2 linked regions of the Xenopus tropicalis genome follow. The protein of the gene in region 1 purifies or fractionates together with the protein of each later gene. This does not show direct contact. Links are inferred from orthologs where the notes say so. Each region holds a gene or a part of one and is shown on either strand. Other genes may lie near its edges.

Region 1 (3,825 bases):
GACCACATCTCCACCATCATCTTTTATCCTCTAGAAACCAATTTCCTGGCAAATGGCCAGAGTAGGAACACAAACTAGTGTGAATACCGCAGCCTGCCACTAAACAGCATTCTACACTGTAGCCTGTATAAACAAAAATGATCTCAGGACCTGCCATCAGGCATAATAATCCAGGTGGTCATCTAAACATGGAATCCGCATGATTAGCCTACAGCTACAAATGACTAACATTGACACTCAAATAGGATATATGGAAAAGATGGAAAGAGTAGCAAACATACACGCAAACGCATCTTGAATATCTAAGAGACAGTTTCCTGGCTCAATGGCTAAAGAACCTAACAACGCCTTTCAGACTTGGCTTATTTAAATCTAAGGGCAAGGACAAGTTGGGAGATTGAGCCAGCATTCAAATTAAAAAATAAATAAATAAAATACCGCTAACTACAAATCTCTGTGCGTCACTGCCCTAAGGACTTGCTGGGGCAGATCTTTGCCATTCAGGGATAATGAACAGCTTTGGAAGAAACTTCAGTTCCTATGATGGCACCACATAAGAGTCCAGAAAAAAACAACCACCATGTTTGACATAAGCAAATGATAGTGTGTATCCCTCTGATTACATCTAAAAGCATCACAGTAAAAAAATTTGCCCAACACTATTAACGTACATCACCCCGTATAGTGGAGTTAGATCAAGACAATTTTTTAAAATAAAAACCAAGGCAGCTTTGACATAATCCCTATCTACCAAAACAAAATGGCCTTAAACAATGCCTTAAAAAATATATGGCTTATTACCAATGAGTCTTCAGTCTTGTCAAAGCTGATGTCTGAGAGAATGGAAGCAGATTCATCTATTGTTGAGAGCCTAAACAAATGTGAGGAATCAGGGAAAATTAGCTAACGCATTGCAATGTAGAATTAAACTTGAATTTTTGCACAGCTATAAGCTAGTTCTTGCTACAGCTCAGTAGCAACAATTCTGTATTTAATAGCAGATTTTACATATACATGCACTGTGTATAGTAATAATGTTCAAGTGTGCTTATTAATATGTGGATTTGCATATTTCAGTTATAAGAATGGACAGTGGCATGTAAATTGCCATGTGACGGGGGGGGGTCTTCCAAAACTGCCACATGCACCCAGATGGCGGGACAGATTGGTGAAAGCTGAAAACTGCCCTGGACGTGTACGGCTACCTCAACTGCCAACAAAATAGTTGTATGTTTTTGACAGCATTACTACTGCTGCTACAATACAGTTATGCATGCAATAGTCCAAGGCGCAGTTACTGGCTTCATATTTACCTCCTAGTGCCATTTCCATCAGCGGACATTTGAGTCCTGTTATTAAGAAAAGCTAAAGCACTTCTTTGCTGCTCACTGAGCTGAATGCTGCCAGATGGATCACACATTAGCAGTTCCCGTATCAGCTGTATTTGTCGTTCCTACCATAAGACAAAACAGGTGTTACTAACAGCACAGGTTGATGTCTTGTCTCCCCCAAAACTGTCGCACACAAATTCTCCAATCTCACCAGTTTTTCACATTCCACCTCTGCACGTTGTCTCCTCTTTATCTCCACATCCACCTGATTGCGTGCATGCTTTAGCTTAACTTCCAGCGCACTGCGCTCAGTTTCAGTCTTCATCAGCATTTCTTTATTTTTTATCAGTTCTTGCTCAGATTTTTGCCATTTTCTTCGAAAGTCTTCAAAATTCTTAGCCAGCTGAATAAACTCTAAGGAATAGGGAGAAAAGGCAATGATTGATCTCTACCATTCAGAAAGAGCATGACAATACCACTCACAAATAAAACCACACGTGAACTGTGCCTAGGGCTATACTGTCAAACTAGAACGCTTTTAAGTTCCAAACAATCAATTGCTCTCCAGGAAGAAAGGTTTGATTTTAGTGTGTTGGCATTTCCAATTATATTTACTCGCAATTTAGGATGTCTAGCTCATACAAGTTAGACAGAAACGCAATATAAATTTAGTTTAAAAGTGAAATATCAGTTTACAGTTATTTTTTGGAAAATTTCCTGTAAAGTTAATACTATGACAAAAATGTATGTTTTCAAAAAAGCTGATCGACATGAGCATGTTCTGTCATTTTTTTTGGGGGGGGGGGGGGGGGGGGAGATTTACAGAAGAATATGCAAAATCAGAGGGCTGGGAAGCCAGATACTCCCGGCTGGTGCTTCTGTTGGCAGAAAACTATACCAGCCTTCCGAGCGAGCAATGTGGAGCAATATTTTTACCTTCGCATTGGGTGCACATGTGCAGTAGAGTGAAAAGGCAAACTTTAAAAGGAGAAGGGCAGCTTTTTCACTATACTGCACGTGTCCTGGCCTGGGCCACTGAAGAATAAAGAAACAGAAGACAATGATTGTCCCATGGTGCTTGCTTTGGAGTACCCCAGACTGGCCCGGGGTATTAGGTGAGCGATTATAAGCACTAAGAGGTGCCTAACATTTGCAACATTTTGGTGCCCAGTTTTAAAATGAGGCAGTACTAATCAAATCAGTATGGGGGGGTCACACCACCACAAACAAAGAAATTCAGCTAACCGACTGTTATATTACCATGAAGATTGAATAACGTTACAGCCAACAAAGCCGAAGTTCTAATATGCAGAGACAGCAAAGCTTCCATCTTGGGATGCATACTTACGTGGCTCTATACCCTCATTCAGGCCATCTACTTGCCGCATTAATTGCTCAAAAAGATTGCGTAGGTTCATCAGGTTTGTCGCCATCTTCCTGCAAAGAATTGTCGATTAGTAGAAAATCACAACTTGGAGCATCAATAGGTGGAGCAGTGCTCGACTCGAAAGTTCTGGGAGCACATTTTGACCAAGGGAGATTTGCAGGGACTGTTTACATAAATACAGACATGTAAAAACCATATATACAAGTATGCTACTACACTTTAAGCCATTAAAACAGCAACTGAAAACTACTTTTTCACAACTCCAGCAAACCCATCATATACCTTGCTAATTGGCCAAAATTATCAAGAAAGCTCAACCATAAAGTTCTAAAAGGCTCATATCCAAGCAAAATGAAAGATAGGCAGACAGACGGTTATACACAAACTTCTACAATGTAAACTTGCATATAAACACCATACATCTTAAAAACTAGTACAAAACCAAGCAAAAATGCCTAAAAAAAATTATACGAAACAAAAATATTTACAGAAACAGCACAAAAACTTATGTGCCTACGACCATAACACACATAGCACATTTAACCTTATGGATATATAAAAAAAAAAAAAAACTACAGGTATACAGGCTCAAATTACAGAAGTCAGCCTCCTTATTTTAAGAAAATAAATCTTATTTTAAAAATGATTTTCTTTTTCCCTAATAAAACAGTACCTTATGCTTCCTTGATAGTAACCAAGCTGCATAAAAGAAGCTCTGAAAGCTTGTAGCCAGACTGGGCTTTTGTTAAAACAAAACCAAAGTCAAGCAAAAGGACCAGACCAACAGAGGGGTGGAACATAGAAGGCAAAGCAACATAGTCATCCCATATGTTGCTGGAACATAAGAAAAAAAATCAAATTTTTCAATCGCATTCCTGTGTTTTTCAAACCCAGCAACACTCAGACGGACCTGGCAGCGATACAGTTTTTAAGCACGGGCCCCTTTAAAGAGTTACAGGCCCTTGGCTCATTGGTGGTCAGCGGGTAATTTTATTGGTTGCGCCCTGTGCGTACGTGTCACGTCAGCACGCACGGGGCGCAACCTAATAAAAGATCTGCAGCTGCGGGACCTAAGAAGAGACAGCGGACGCAGAACGCTGGGGGATG
Region 2 (4,311 bases), on another chromosome or scaffold:
TGTATTAACATAGACCTTTCTGATAAAGCTTACTTAGTTTTTACCTTTCCTTCTCTTTTAAATATCATATGTGAAGAAAACTGGTCAATACAGAATCTTTACCCCTCCAGCCAGACCCTGAGTGGTATCATCTTCCTTCGGAGGGTGTGCACATAAAACATACAGATTACACACAAATTGCGATTGATACAGTAGGTTGAGACCTGCTCATTAGAGTTTACAATATATTAAAAGAAACACTGCATAGTACACATATTTCAGTTTCAGAAAAACATGTCACACACAGCAGAGATATTATTTATGGAGTGGGCAATACAAACAATAACTTCTTACAGAAGCAGATACACAATATTGCATTGCGCAGTTTTTGATAATAGGGGCTTCAGACTAGGTTCCCAGGGCCCACCAGTAAGCCTTACATTACATTCCCACGCTTCCCCTTATTATCCCCCTTAGTCAGCTTTTTTATGGTCCTACTCCCATATTTATACATACTACACTTCCCTCGTTGCCCACTTTCCCCGTATGGTTAATAATCAATATATAGAAATCCAAGGCTAATGGTTGGGCGGGTAGATGGCCCACTGACGTCTGGTCCGTCGGCCTATCCAGCATTGAATAGGGGACTCTATAAATATAGCTTTCCGACCAAAGGCATTAGGGTTACAGTAATTATCTAGGCTCAAACTGGGCATATGGCATCTGTCTCCGTAGTATTGGCTTGTACAGTATACTATAGCTCCAGAGTTGTAGAACTTAGCACATATAACGTCTATTTTAAACCCTTTTGAAAAACTTATTTGGAGAACTGCATCCACATATCCTGCAGAATATATTCCGTATGACATTGCGAGGAACCCCTCGCGTCCCACAGGATAAAACACTTTGCTGTTCCAAATAAAACTGAATTGGGCTCTTGCCATTGCTCCCCGGCGCCTTCAATAACTCTAATTCTGACAGCTACCCGACACGCCGGCCACGTGACCCCGCCGCTTCCTCTCCACATGGACTGCATTCGCTGGGGTCCTTCGCACAAATGGCTGTACCGTGATATTGCCGTACTTTTTTGCTGCTTTCATCTCCGCTTTGCATCAACTTATTTCTGTCAGATAACTTTGCAACATATATCAACTCCTGCCATGTAATCGCCGCCTCTTTATGAAAAGATTAACAAAAATAAAATACTGGATTGGGCAAGTTGAATAATCAGGCACCTAAATAGACAGTCCGATGACGGCAAAGAACAAGAGAAGGGAGGAGTTGGGGTCCTAGGGAATGCCAGCCGGGCAGCGTCTGGCAGCTGCTGAGGGAGGGGAGTCTCTGGGCAGGAGAGTGAGACCGTTCACACGTGGTCTCCGGTATCGGAAGAGCTGCCGCCTACGGCACCGAGTGACTGCTCTCCCCTCCCCAAGGCCGCCATTCCCCCCACCGGTCCTTTATCTGTGTTAGTGCGCGGTGTCGTCTTTGTGCAGCAGGTGTCACCACAGCATCGCTGACGTCATGGACTGCGACATCATGGAGAATGACATCTTGGAGGCTCTGGAGGATCTTGGGTATGGGATTTTTTTGAATGCTTAAACATTGCCTCCTGTTCTGTAATGGTCACTTTGTATTCTCCATCTCTGTAGCATGACAAACGTGTATATCTCTGGCTAGTAATCCGCAAGCATTTATTGGACCATGTTAAACAGCAGTGACAGCTCTTTGCCATACATTGGACTCTTACTTATACATATCTGATGACTGTATAGTATTGCACTCACATGTCATATCAGAAAAACTTTATGATCAAAATCTTTTTCACCTGATGACAACAGCAGCACAGGGCTGAATAAGCATAGGCTAATCCTAGCAGGCAGCAGCATATTTCTGCACATTTTTTAATGAGTTTCTTTAATTCAGAGCAACCACTTTTTTACTGATTTTTTTTTGAAACCACAGCTAGATTGGCATGATGTATAGGATGATTGCTCGCCTACATTTATTGATTACTCATAATTGCAAATTCTAAACAACCAGCTATGTGACTGCCAGGATTATGTTTTATAAAAGATGACTTGTTTTAAATTGGGTTTTGGAGTTTAGGCTTCTGTTTTAGATAAGAACTAACATTTTTGAACACAGATGGTTTTTTAACTGTTTAATATAAGAAAGTCAGTTGTAACTGATGTTATATTTGGGATGGAATTTATAATAATGTATCCCCTCTTTTGTCAAATAAAAAGGGCATTACATCCATAATCACTTAGGCCCAATGTTGCAGCCAAATGCTTTTATACAGGTCGCAGAACTCTTGAGATGACTTCTATAGTATTTTTTAACAAGGGGCATATTTATTTTTACAATGTAAAGGTGTGTTATGTAACAAGATTGAGGTCATAAGACTTTGTTTCACCAGAAATATAATTAACTTGGTGAATATAGATGAAAAGGTCCCGCTAAGCCTTGCAAGCCTTTCACTGTCGGAGGGTGCTGTGAATTTAAGCTGAAGAACAGAAAGAGTGCTATCTCATTTTAGAAATAATCCCAAGGAGTACATTATTCTTGCTAATATCAATGATATCACTGATATAATATAGTGAAATAGGTGTGTTGTGAGCCAAGGCCATATACATACATTTAATTTTAAGGTCTAAAAAAGCCATTGAGAATATACTGTATGTTTAGCAACCATAGGTAGTAAAAGGCACATTTGCCCAGGTGCCGTTACTCATAGCAACCAATAGAATGTTTGCTTTAAAACAGGTGACCAGTAAAAGCTACTTGCTGATTGGTTGCTATTAGTGACAAGCCAAATAGAAAACTTTGCACCTTTTATTATATAACCTGTTTGTTCTTTGGAGAATGCAGTCTTAATTTCTCTTATTGGTTTAATTTAAAGCTTTTAATAAGTTTAGTAACTGTGCCCATTACTGTGAGTCATCCAAAGAAACTTGTTTTCTATGTTTATGTGCTTCATGCTAAGACAAATCAACAAAGTGGATACTTCTTATTAGCTTGTATATTATTATCACTTGATTTGCTGTTTGGTATAGGGCATAGGGGAAATCAATTCAACAATCAAACTGCTGTGCAATATATAACATCATTGGTATATATTTATTTTGTATTAGATATCATACCACTAGTCTTAATGTCTTTATCTGTGGCCTGTAACCTTTTTCTCATTTTATTTTTACTCGATATATAGAGAGGTTAAGATTTCCCTATATATCTATTAGAAGCAAGCAGAATGCTTCTCTTTACTTGGCAATAGTGAAGTCCTTTTGTCTTTTTCTTTCTTAATCAGGGCCAGACATTTCCCTGAAGTAGGCAAGTAAATGGTTAAGGACCAGTAACACTAAATAAATGTAAAGGGTTTTCTGTTCATATTAAAATAATGTACTTTTCCCCTGCACTGATGCAAGTTATGTACCTGCGCCACAAACTATATTTTAGCCATGGGGCATTCAAGCTAAAATATGGCAAGGTAAAATGTTTACAAAGTAAATATTAAGTAAGCAGTGTAGAATACAATAGTTTAATTGTTAAGCAGTATGTTGAATTAATCATATTGGATTCTACAGACCTATAGAATGAAAGGTGTTTAAAAAAAAATGCCTGATGAATAGATAAAAACTAGTTATCCATCACATGAAAATTGTTTCCCCCATCTGAGGTGCAGAATAACAGAGCCTGCATTCCTGATAGGGGAAACAATAGTAGTTGTTTTGTTTTTTTTTTTTTTTTTGAAAAGCAGCCAAGCACCTTGGTCTACATATCCCCCAGTCCTATATCACATGTACTTGCAGATTATGCATATGCCCCTACAAGCATGCACAGCCCATTTCATATTCCCTTACAGCATTGTGATGGGATTAAGATCTATGCTTTGACTTGGCCATTCCTTGGTGCAGGCCCAAACTATAACATTTCCACCACCACGCTTTACGATTGGTATCAGGGACTTCTGGTGAAATGCTGTCTTTGGTTTTCACCAAACATGCCTTCTGGTACTGTGCCAAATAACTCTTAACGTTGCCTTGTCTCCCCAGAGCAAACACTGATTGATTTTTTTTCTGGACAGCAAAAGTTTTCCATGTAGCTATTTCTAGGTGCAGACTCATTCACTTAGTCGGGTGAGTTACTTATAGGTCCCATGATGAAATTCTGGCACTTCTTCCAGCACTGTGGACTACACAACATAAATGGTGCAGGATATTTGTTGTATCACCTTTATCGGTATTGTTGACAAGAATATCAAATATCTGTAGGTTGGAAAAGGACTCTTCTTGACTGAGCATATTTGTTTTATTTGACTGGTGCACACAT

The links.
Region 2: the proteins of racgap1 (region 1) and protein FAM98A purify together in Homo sapiens (co-immunoprecipitation; 3 studies listed by BioGRID and IntAct, with this or other methods). This does not show direct contact. The link is inferred for Xenopus tropicalis from reciprocal best matches to the Homo sapiens genes RACGAP1 and FAM98A.

What each region holds. Positions count from the first base shown.
Region 1 is NC_030678.2:148,521,140-148,524,964, forward strand, and holds part of racgap1 (rac GTPase-activating protein 1), read right to left. Parts: intron 2,769-3,825; 5' UTR 2,765-2,768; coding exon 2,680-2,764; intron 1,746-2,679; coding exon 1,543-1,745; intron 1,454-1,542; coding exon 1,314-1,453; intron 872-1,313; coding exon 802-871; intron 1-801.
Region 2 is NC_030681.2:46,829,797-46,834,107, reverse strand, and holds the start of protein FAM98A, read left to right. Parts: upstream 1-1,277; 5' UTR 1,278-1,500; coding exon 1,501-1,553; intron 1,554-4,311. UniProt on the Homo sapiens protein: Positively stimulates PRMT1-induced protein arginine methylation. Involved in skeletal homeostasis. Positively regulates lysosome peripheral distribution and ruffled border formation in osteoclasts.